Rattus norvegicus: one gene and its partner. The protein of the gene in region 1 purifies or fractionates together with the protein of each later gene. This does not show direct contact. Links are inferred from orthologs where the notes say so. Each region holds a gene or a part of one and is shown on either strand. Other genes may lie near its edges.

Region 1 (3,646 bases):
TCCTGCTGATCTCCTCCAGGAAACTGGCCCCTTGCGCGAGCCTGCGAACGGCTCTGGGGCGTGGGGACCCGCGCCGTGTGCGCCCGCCCAGGAGGGGAGCGGGGGGAGGGGCACCCTGGCAGCGGTGGTGAGAGGGGACGCCGGGCTTCCTGGTCTGGTTCCAGCCCTTGGCTGAGCACTGAAACTTTGAGCTGAGGTCTGGTCCTTCTCCAGCCCAGCCTTTCTGCAGGAAGTGGAGAGATTTGTGGGCTGGGGCCTCCAGGGAGGGTGGCCGGTGGGGTGGGGCCAGCTCAGGATAGTCCCTCCCCCCACCTGCTTGAGCTACACTGTTACTGTGTTCTAACTCTGCAGGGGCTGAGAAGACCCACATTTCATGCTTGGTGCCGACACTGGATTCCCTCGGGTGCTGGCTCCAGGCCTGGGGAGGTGGGGGACTGGACCTTGGGTTTTAAGTTCAAAACCTAGATCTGGAACCCTCAGAGGTGGGGTTACGGGGGTGACATTTGAGGATAGGGTACTGACGGAGCTACAGCCGATGGTTTGAAAAGGGGCCTCACCGAGCCCCCACCCCCTCCTAGGGTCTGTCCGCCATCTTGCCAAAAACAATTTTTAAAGAGCACAGCTTTCATCTCTATAAACAACTCTCTGGACTTGGCTTTAACTCCACGTTTCTCTGAGCCTTTGCCCCTCTGCTCTGTCCTTGGCCTTTTGCTCTTCCTCCTCATTCTCCTGATTCCATGTGCCATGTACCCCACTCCCCTCAGCCCTGTACCCTGGTCCCCCTCTGTCCTCCTTTCCCTCCAATTTGACTCCGATTGGGAGGTTGGGATTTGGGGGGTGGCAGGTCCAGGGCGGAGGGTGGTTTAGGGGGAGGGAAGAGAGGAGGTCAATGCCTTCTTCCTGTGCTTGTTGGAATGCTCACCAGGATTGGAGGCCAGGGCAACCCCCCCTTGTCCTTGACGCCCCCCTAAGTCTGGATTGTCTATTGTTACTGTTTTTACGTCTTGGAAAAAGTTAACACAACAAAGGACTCCTTTGTCACTTCACTCCTTTGCCTCCTGGCCTCACCCAGGCCCCCCCAACCCCGCCCCCCAGCAGCTGTTCTCAGGCCTCCCTCCCGCCCCGTTTGATTTGCTTGTCAGGCCTCCTGAGAAGGAAGTGAGGTGAAAAACCAGGGCAGAGCAGTTCTGTGTAGGCATGAGCAGCAGATTGCAGCTGGTCAGTCCTCTGGACCCTTGGGGGGTTGTAGGCACCGATGAGTCCTTTCCCTCTGGTTAGAGAGGGGACATGGTTACAGCAATGCTGGACCGCCCGGCTGATGTCCAGGCCCAAGTAGGAGCCAGGAAAGTCCTGCCAAGGCCATTGGCAGAGTTCCCGGTGTGTTTGCAGGTAGGACGGTGGTAGTATGCAGCCAAGCTCCCGTGTCCCCAAGTGTCCTAACCTCTCTGCCTGGGCTTTGCAGCCACAGGAGTCATTTACAGCCTGACATAACACATGCTGTTGGATGCTTGAGCACAGAACTGTGTACGTCTAGCATTCGCTGGGAATGGCTGGAGCTCAGCGGGACTCAGCAGAGCAGCTACTCACCCATCCTTGGCTCTCTGCAAATAGATGTGGCAAAAGAGGCTGCCGGAGAGCCCTCTGGGGATCTGGGATAGTCTTCTCTCTATAGTTTACATCTGTCACACTGTATCCTTAGCTGCCCAGGCCCTGGGCACAGACAGCTCTCACCCAAATAGCCATGTTCTGTCTGGGGTGATGGGCCTAGAGCCAGGCACAGAGATTTTTGCTTGGGAGGGAAAGGGGGGACTGCCCCCCGCTGGTTGGGTCACCCCTCCTGGCTGCCCTCTTGGAGCTGAATAACAGGAATGGAGGGGGGTAACCCGGACGTAGTATTTAGGCCAGACAGACAGACCATTGATAGAAACAGACCCCCCTTTGTCATAGTGTCTCCCTATAGACGCGGGGCATCTAAAGTGATGGGCTTCTAGGAGCCCTAGGGACTCTTTCACTGTCTTCAGGAGGTCCCCCTGTCATCTCAGGGAGTGCCCTCCTGCTTTGCCCAAGCCTCTTGTGATTCTTGTGTGCTGCCTTGGACCCCACCTTAGCCAGGGGATTGTTGGATGGGGGGAGGGGCGTGGCTGATGTCAGAGGGGCTGGAGGAAGTAGAAAGGAAGCAAACGCAAAGGGGCCAGGGAGTGGCCAGCATCGAACATCCTGTCGACCCCAGTTTCCTCTGCCTCTAGTCTGTGCCCTTCAGTCCATCTTCATTAAGCCTTGACTCCTTCTGAACTTTGGGGGGCCCTGGCAAGGGTGCTGTTTGTATTAAGGTTTTGAAATAAAAGCCAGTCCCTTACTCTCCGATTACAGCTGTGTTCTCTCTCTCTCTCTCTCTCTCTCTCTCTCTCTCTCTCTCTCTCTCTCTCTCTCTGTGTGTGCGTGTGTGTGCGTGTGTGTGCGTGTGTGTGTGTGTGTGTGTGTGTGTGTGTGTGTGTGTGTATGTGTTCACACACAGATCTGGGATTGAAGCTGTATCCTGGGGACATAGGAGTAATGGGGCCTGAATATTTACCTGTCAGCCTGTCGGGGAATTGTGGAAGGGGAGAGCTGAGTTTGCAGAGACCACCTCTGTCCAGGATTAGCACAGACAAGGTGGACAGGTTGCAGGGGGATGGGTACCTGGGTCTCTCAAGTCTCCTCCTTCTCTCCTAGCCATCGAGACCCAGAGCAGCAGTTCGGAAGAGATAGTGCCCAGCCCTCCCTCACCACCACCCCTGCCTCGAATCTACAAGCCTTGCTTTGTTTGTCAAGACAAGTCATCCGGCTACCACTATGGGGTTAGCGCCTGTGAGGGCTGTAAGGTGAGTGGAGGGAGTCCCAGAGAAGGACAGTCTTGGTTGGATAAACGGGATACCCCCACATTCGTTCGTGTCCTCGGTGTGCAGTCAGCAGGGCCGTTACCAAGGCTGCCTACTTTCGCTTCTTCAGCAACCGTGGAGGAAGACGCCTGCAGTAAGGCCTCCTCCATAAATGAGCAGCGCTCTCTGTGACCAGAAGTTCCCTCCTGCCATGTTCTCCCTGTGTCTATCCTCTGGCCAGCAGCGGGGTATACATACACTGGCCCTGCCACTGTTTCCCAGGTTGTCATGGTGAGCTGGCCGTTTGCTGCCTGGCTCTTGGCTGGGGACCCAGGAGGCCTGCCCCCAGTGGCCTTGCCTGAAGCTTACCCGTGGTCTCCTTGCAAGAGACAGCTAGTAGCAGACACCCTGCCTTGGCCTCCCTTCAGGTGTCCAGGCTGCGGGCTCCCCAGTGGCTACTGGGTTTCCTGCCATCTCAGTTATACTGGTCTCTGGGCACGCATGTGGCTAACCCTTCCTGGCTGGGATATCATCTCTCTACCTGATTGATGGCAGGGCCTCTGCTCTAGTTTGTTCCGTCAAAGATAAGGGCCTAGAAGCTATACCTCCTCAGTACTTGGGGCTCTTGGCCCTGGAAGGAACCTCAGACTGGAATAGCCATCTCCAGGTATAAGATAGAGGTCAAGGGTAGTTAGTGTAAGACTGTGTATGTATGTGCTGGCCCTGTCTGGTTTGTCCTGTCTCATTGCTCCCTGGTCAGGTCTGTTTCCGTGCTAGCTTAGCTTACA
Region 2 (3,646 bases), on another chromosome or scaffold:
TAAGCTTGGCTGTGAGCATCTTTACTTGTTGAACCATCTCTTTTTATTGTCTGGTATTTTATGGATAGATCTGGTTCTATAACCAAATCCATAGACACTGAGCAGGGGAAAAGCATAAACCGAGAAACAGTATGTTGGTCTTATGTGTCCACAGCATCTACTGCCGAGGCTGCGCCAAGCCTCTGTGTTGTGAATGCGCGCTTCTGGACCGCAACCACAGCCATCTCCAGTGTGAAATTGGTAAGGAGATCCAGCAGCTGCATGAGGAGCTGGGCACCATGACGCAGGCTCTGGAGGAGCAGGGCAGAACCTTCGACAGTGCCCATGCACAGATGCACTCAGCCATAGGCCAGTTGGATGACGCACGCTCAGACACTGAGAAGCAGATCCGCGCACGCGTGCGCCAGGTGATAGAACACGTGCAGGCTCAGGAGCGCGAGTTGCTCGAGGCGGTGAATGTGCGCTACCAGCGCGACTACCAGGAAATAGCTGGCCAGCTGGGCCACCTGGAAGCTGTGCTGCAGCGCATCCGCACTGGTGGGGCGCTGGTCAAGAGGATGAAGCTCTACGCCTCCGAACAGGAGGTGCTGGATATGCATGGCTTTCTGCGCAAGGCACTCTGTCGCTTGCGCCAGGAGGAGCCTCAGAATCACAAAGTCCAGCTGCGCACCAGCGGCTTCGAGGAGTTCAAGTTGTGCCTGCAGGACCTCGTCTCCTTCATCACCCAGAGGACAGGTAAGAGTTGAGGCCATGCTCATAGGCAGCTGGTTTGTCATTTAAAGGACCCATGCTTCACTGTTGCACCCAGGGGCAGGCAAATTGGAAGAGATGATCTCCATTCAGTAGATGAAAGACAAGTATCAGGTCTGAGGATCCAGGGAACAGAATAAGAGGATATGCTGATCTGGTGTGGCAAGCATCTGGAGGAGACACTTTACAAACTTATAAGATTATGGAGTAGATGTGACTTTGTGAGCCTTGGGGAACAGGTGGAAACTGAGAGCTGAGAACCGGATGTGGTATCATTGCAGCCCACTCTCGGTATCAGCCTCCTATGCCCAGCAAAAAAGAAGTCAACTGGTCTGTAAGGTTAGGAGAGGAGGAAGCTCAGAAAACCTAGCTATGAGGTGTTTAGTCAGACACTGAAAGGAAGAATTCCCCTAGAACAAAGCAGTCATCTGTCAGTCTCTAGGTCCTAGAGTCTCTGTTATTGGGCTTTTATGATGTATGGGAGTGGCAGGCCAGTTCCTGACCTCAAGTGTTGTCCAACTGGGAGAGTATCCTGGGCTACATCCCATAGCTAGAGACATGCTTGGCTCTGAATCAAAATCCAGGAGCTGTGCCCTGAATGAGCGGGTGGCATCAGTGGCTTTCCAGAGACCATGAGTACACATTTACACATTCAGGGGTTTTGTTTAACTCTTTAAGCGGGGACGTTAGCTCTGAGCAGCGGTTGGGGGGTGCCCCTTTTGGTTCCCCGCAGGTTCCAAGGATAGGAGGGCTCCCTCCTGGACCACATAAGCCAGGGGCTTATAAAGATAGGGTCCTAGAATGGAGATGGACTTCTATCTTCTCCATCTAGGCAGATGCATAGATGTGCACTTGGGGTTTAGAGACAAAGGTGTCACCCAGTGCTACTGCCCACACCCCACCCCACTCCACCCTATTCCATTCTATTTAGGTTCATCCCTGCAGCAGCCAACTCCAGCCCCTCTGTGGGGGTGTACCCACGAATGAATACCCAAGGAAAGCATCAAGGACCTCCCCTCTGTCTCCGTCCCAGCTAAGAATTCCTACTAGAATGCTCTCTATGTTTTGTTTTGGTTTTCCCCCAGATGTAGCTGTAGCTGGGAGAGCCAGCCCAGAGGCAGCCAGCACTCACCCAGAGGCAGCCAGCGCTCAGCCAGAGGCAGCCAGCACTCACCCAGAGGCAGCCAGCGCTCAGCCAGAGGCAGCCAGCGCTCACCCAGAGTCAGCCAGCACTCCTGGGAACTCGACTGACCTTGAGCAGGTGAGAGGAGTTTGATGTGTGAGGAGGGGTAGGAGGGCACAGCACGCGAATGCTTGGAGGTCCTGATGTCCTGTGATGAGGGAGAGTGCCTGAGAGAGGACAGCAGGTGGCTGGGCTGGAGCTCTCAGGAGGAGAGGGTCAAGGAAGGGTTGGCTGTCTCTGGTGCAAGGTTCCTTAATGCCCGACTAGCTCTTGATGTGCCACAAGCCAGTCCAGGAGGGGTCAGACCCATGGGTGGGCAGGCAGTGAATGTAGAGTGTAAACTGCAGCCCTGTTCGACGTGACACGGGATGTATCTGAAGCTCGCACAGACTGTCTGAGCCAATTTCTGGGGCTGGCATAGATGGACCTCCACTCCCACGCACTTGGTTCTTGGACTTAGGGCTAGGAGTCAGAGCTCAAGCCCACAGATTCCAGGGCCATCATGTACCTAAAAGACTAGCTCCTCAGGGTTGGGAACACCCTTAGATAATCTCATGTTGCATTCCCTCTGCTGTATCTTTGACTCAGTGACTTTCATACGCATGCCACTGGGAGCAGGGAGTTTACCCATTCTTGAGGCGGTACCTCCTGTTCTGATTGCTCCAACTGAGACTTCTCAGGATAGAAGCGCACGGGCATTCTTTCCAACACTCGTAGGCATGGCTCTCCTGCAGCAGGATGAGCTCCTTCCTTCCTGAGCCTGGCATCCTTCCCCTCCCCAGCTTGGTCACTCTGTTGTGTGCGGCTGGATGTCAAGATGTGGGCCCAGGACCGGGTAGACCTTCTGGTGGGCAGCAAGGGTATTAAACCTTTCTAGCTTTGCCTTGGGGTAAGCCATGGAAAAGGGATTGCTGCGGGTTACAGCACTGGGAAAAGGACTTGGGGGAGGCAGGACTTTTGAGAATTTTAGAGCTATAAGAGCGTGTGGAGTCTAAAAACCTCTTTCAGGGATGTAAGACCCAAAGAGAATCGGTGGTGAGCTAGTTGGAACTTGAACTTGGGCACGCAAGCGCTCTTTTTTTCATAGGGCTTCCTCCTTTTCACCGTGGTTGTCACTTGCGGGCTGATAGGACTCAGGAAAGAAGTCCGTAGCAATGTGTGGGAGCAAAGGTCATGTGAGGCTGGAATATGGTTGCATAGCCAGTGCTGTCAGGAGAGGCAGCACCAGTTGACATAGCACTGCCCCCTCCACACACATTCACCTTACTATCCCTCTGCTTCTTCAACTCTGGTGAGTGTTGTGCTGAGGGAACAGAAGCAGAGGCACCCAGCCTTGCCTACAGGGAGTTCCCGGCCTTTTATACGCCAGCAACTGCAGAGCCATAAAGGCAAAGATAAGATGGTTAAGCTGTCTGCCTCCTGTTCTGAGGATGGAATATCCGGGCCTTGGAACGTGGGAGGCCGTGCTTTACCACTGGGCTTCCTGCCCAGCCCCACACACAGTTTGCAGTTGAACATCTAACTTCCATACTTTTGAGGTAGTACCTAGGAGTAGAATTGGTAAGCCGTGTGGTAATTCTTTCATTAAAAAAGAAGATTTATTCACTTTTATTTTATGTATATGAGTGTTTTGCTTGCATGTTAAGTGTACCATATGCATGCAATACCTGCAGAGACCAGAAGAGGGTGTCTGGTCCCCTAATCCTGGGGTAA

The links.
Region 2: the proteins of Rara (region 1) and Pml purify together in Homo sapiens (affinity purification with western blotting; 6 studies listed by BioGRID, with this or other methods). This does not show direct contact. The link is inferred for Rattus norvegicus from reciprocal best matches to the Homo sapiens genes RARA and PML.

What each region holds. Positions count from the first base shown.
Region 1 is NC_086028.1:84,414,372-84,418,017, forward strand, and holds part of Rara (retinoic acid receptor alpha), read left to right. Parts: intron 1-2,712; coding exon 2,713-2,861; intron 2,862-3,646. UniProt on the Homo sapiens protein: Receptor for retinoic acid. Retinoic acid receptors bind as heterodimers to their target response elements in response to their ligands, all-trans or 9-cis retinoic acid, and regulate gene expression in various biological processes.
Region 2 is NC_086026.1:67,537,817-67,541,462, reverse strand, and holds part of Pml (PML nuclear body scaffold), read left to right. Parts: intron 1-154; coding exon 155-735; intron 736-1,835; coding exon 1,836-2,011; intron 2,012-3,646.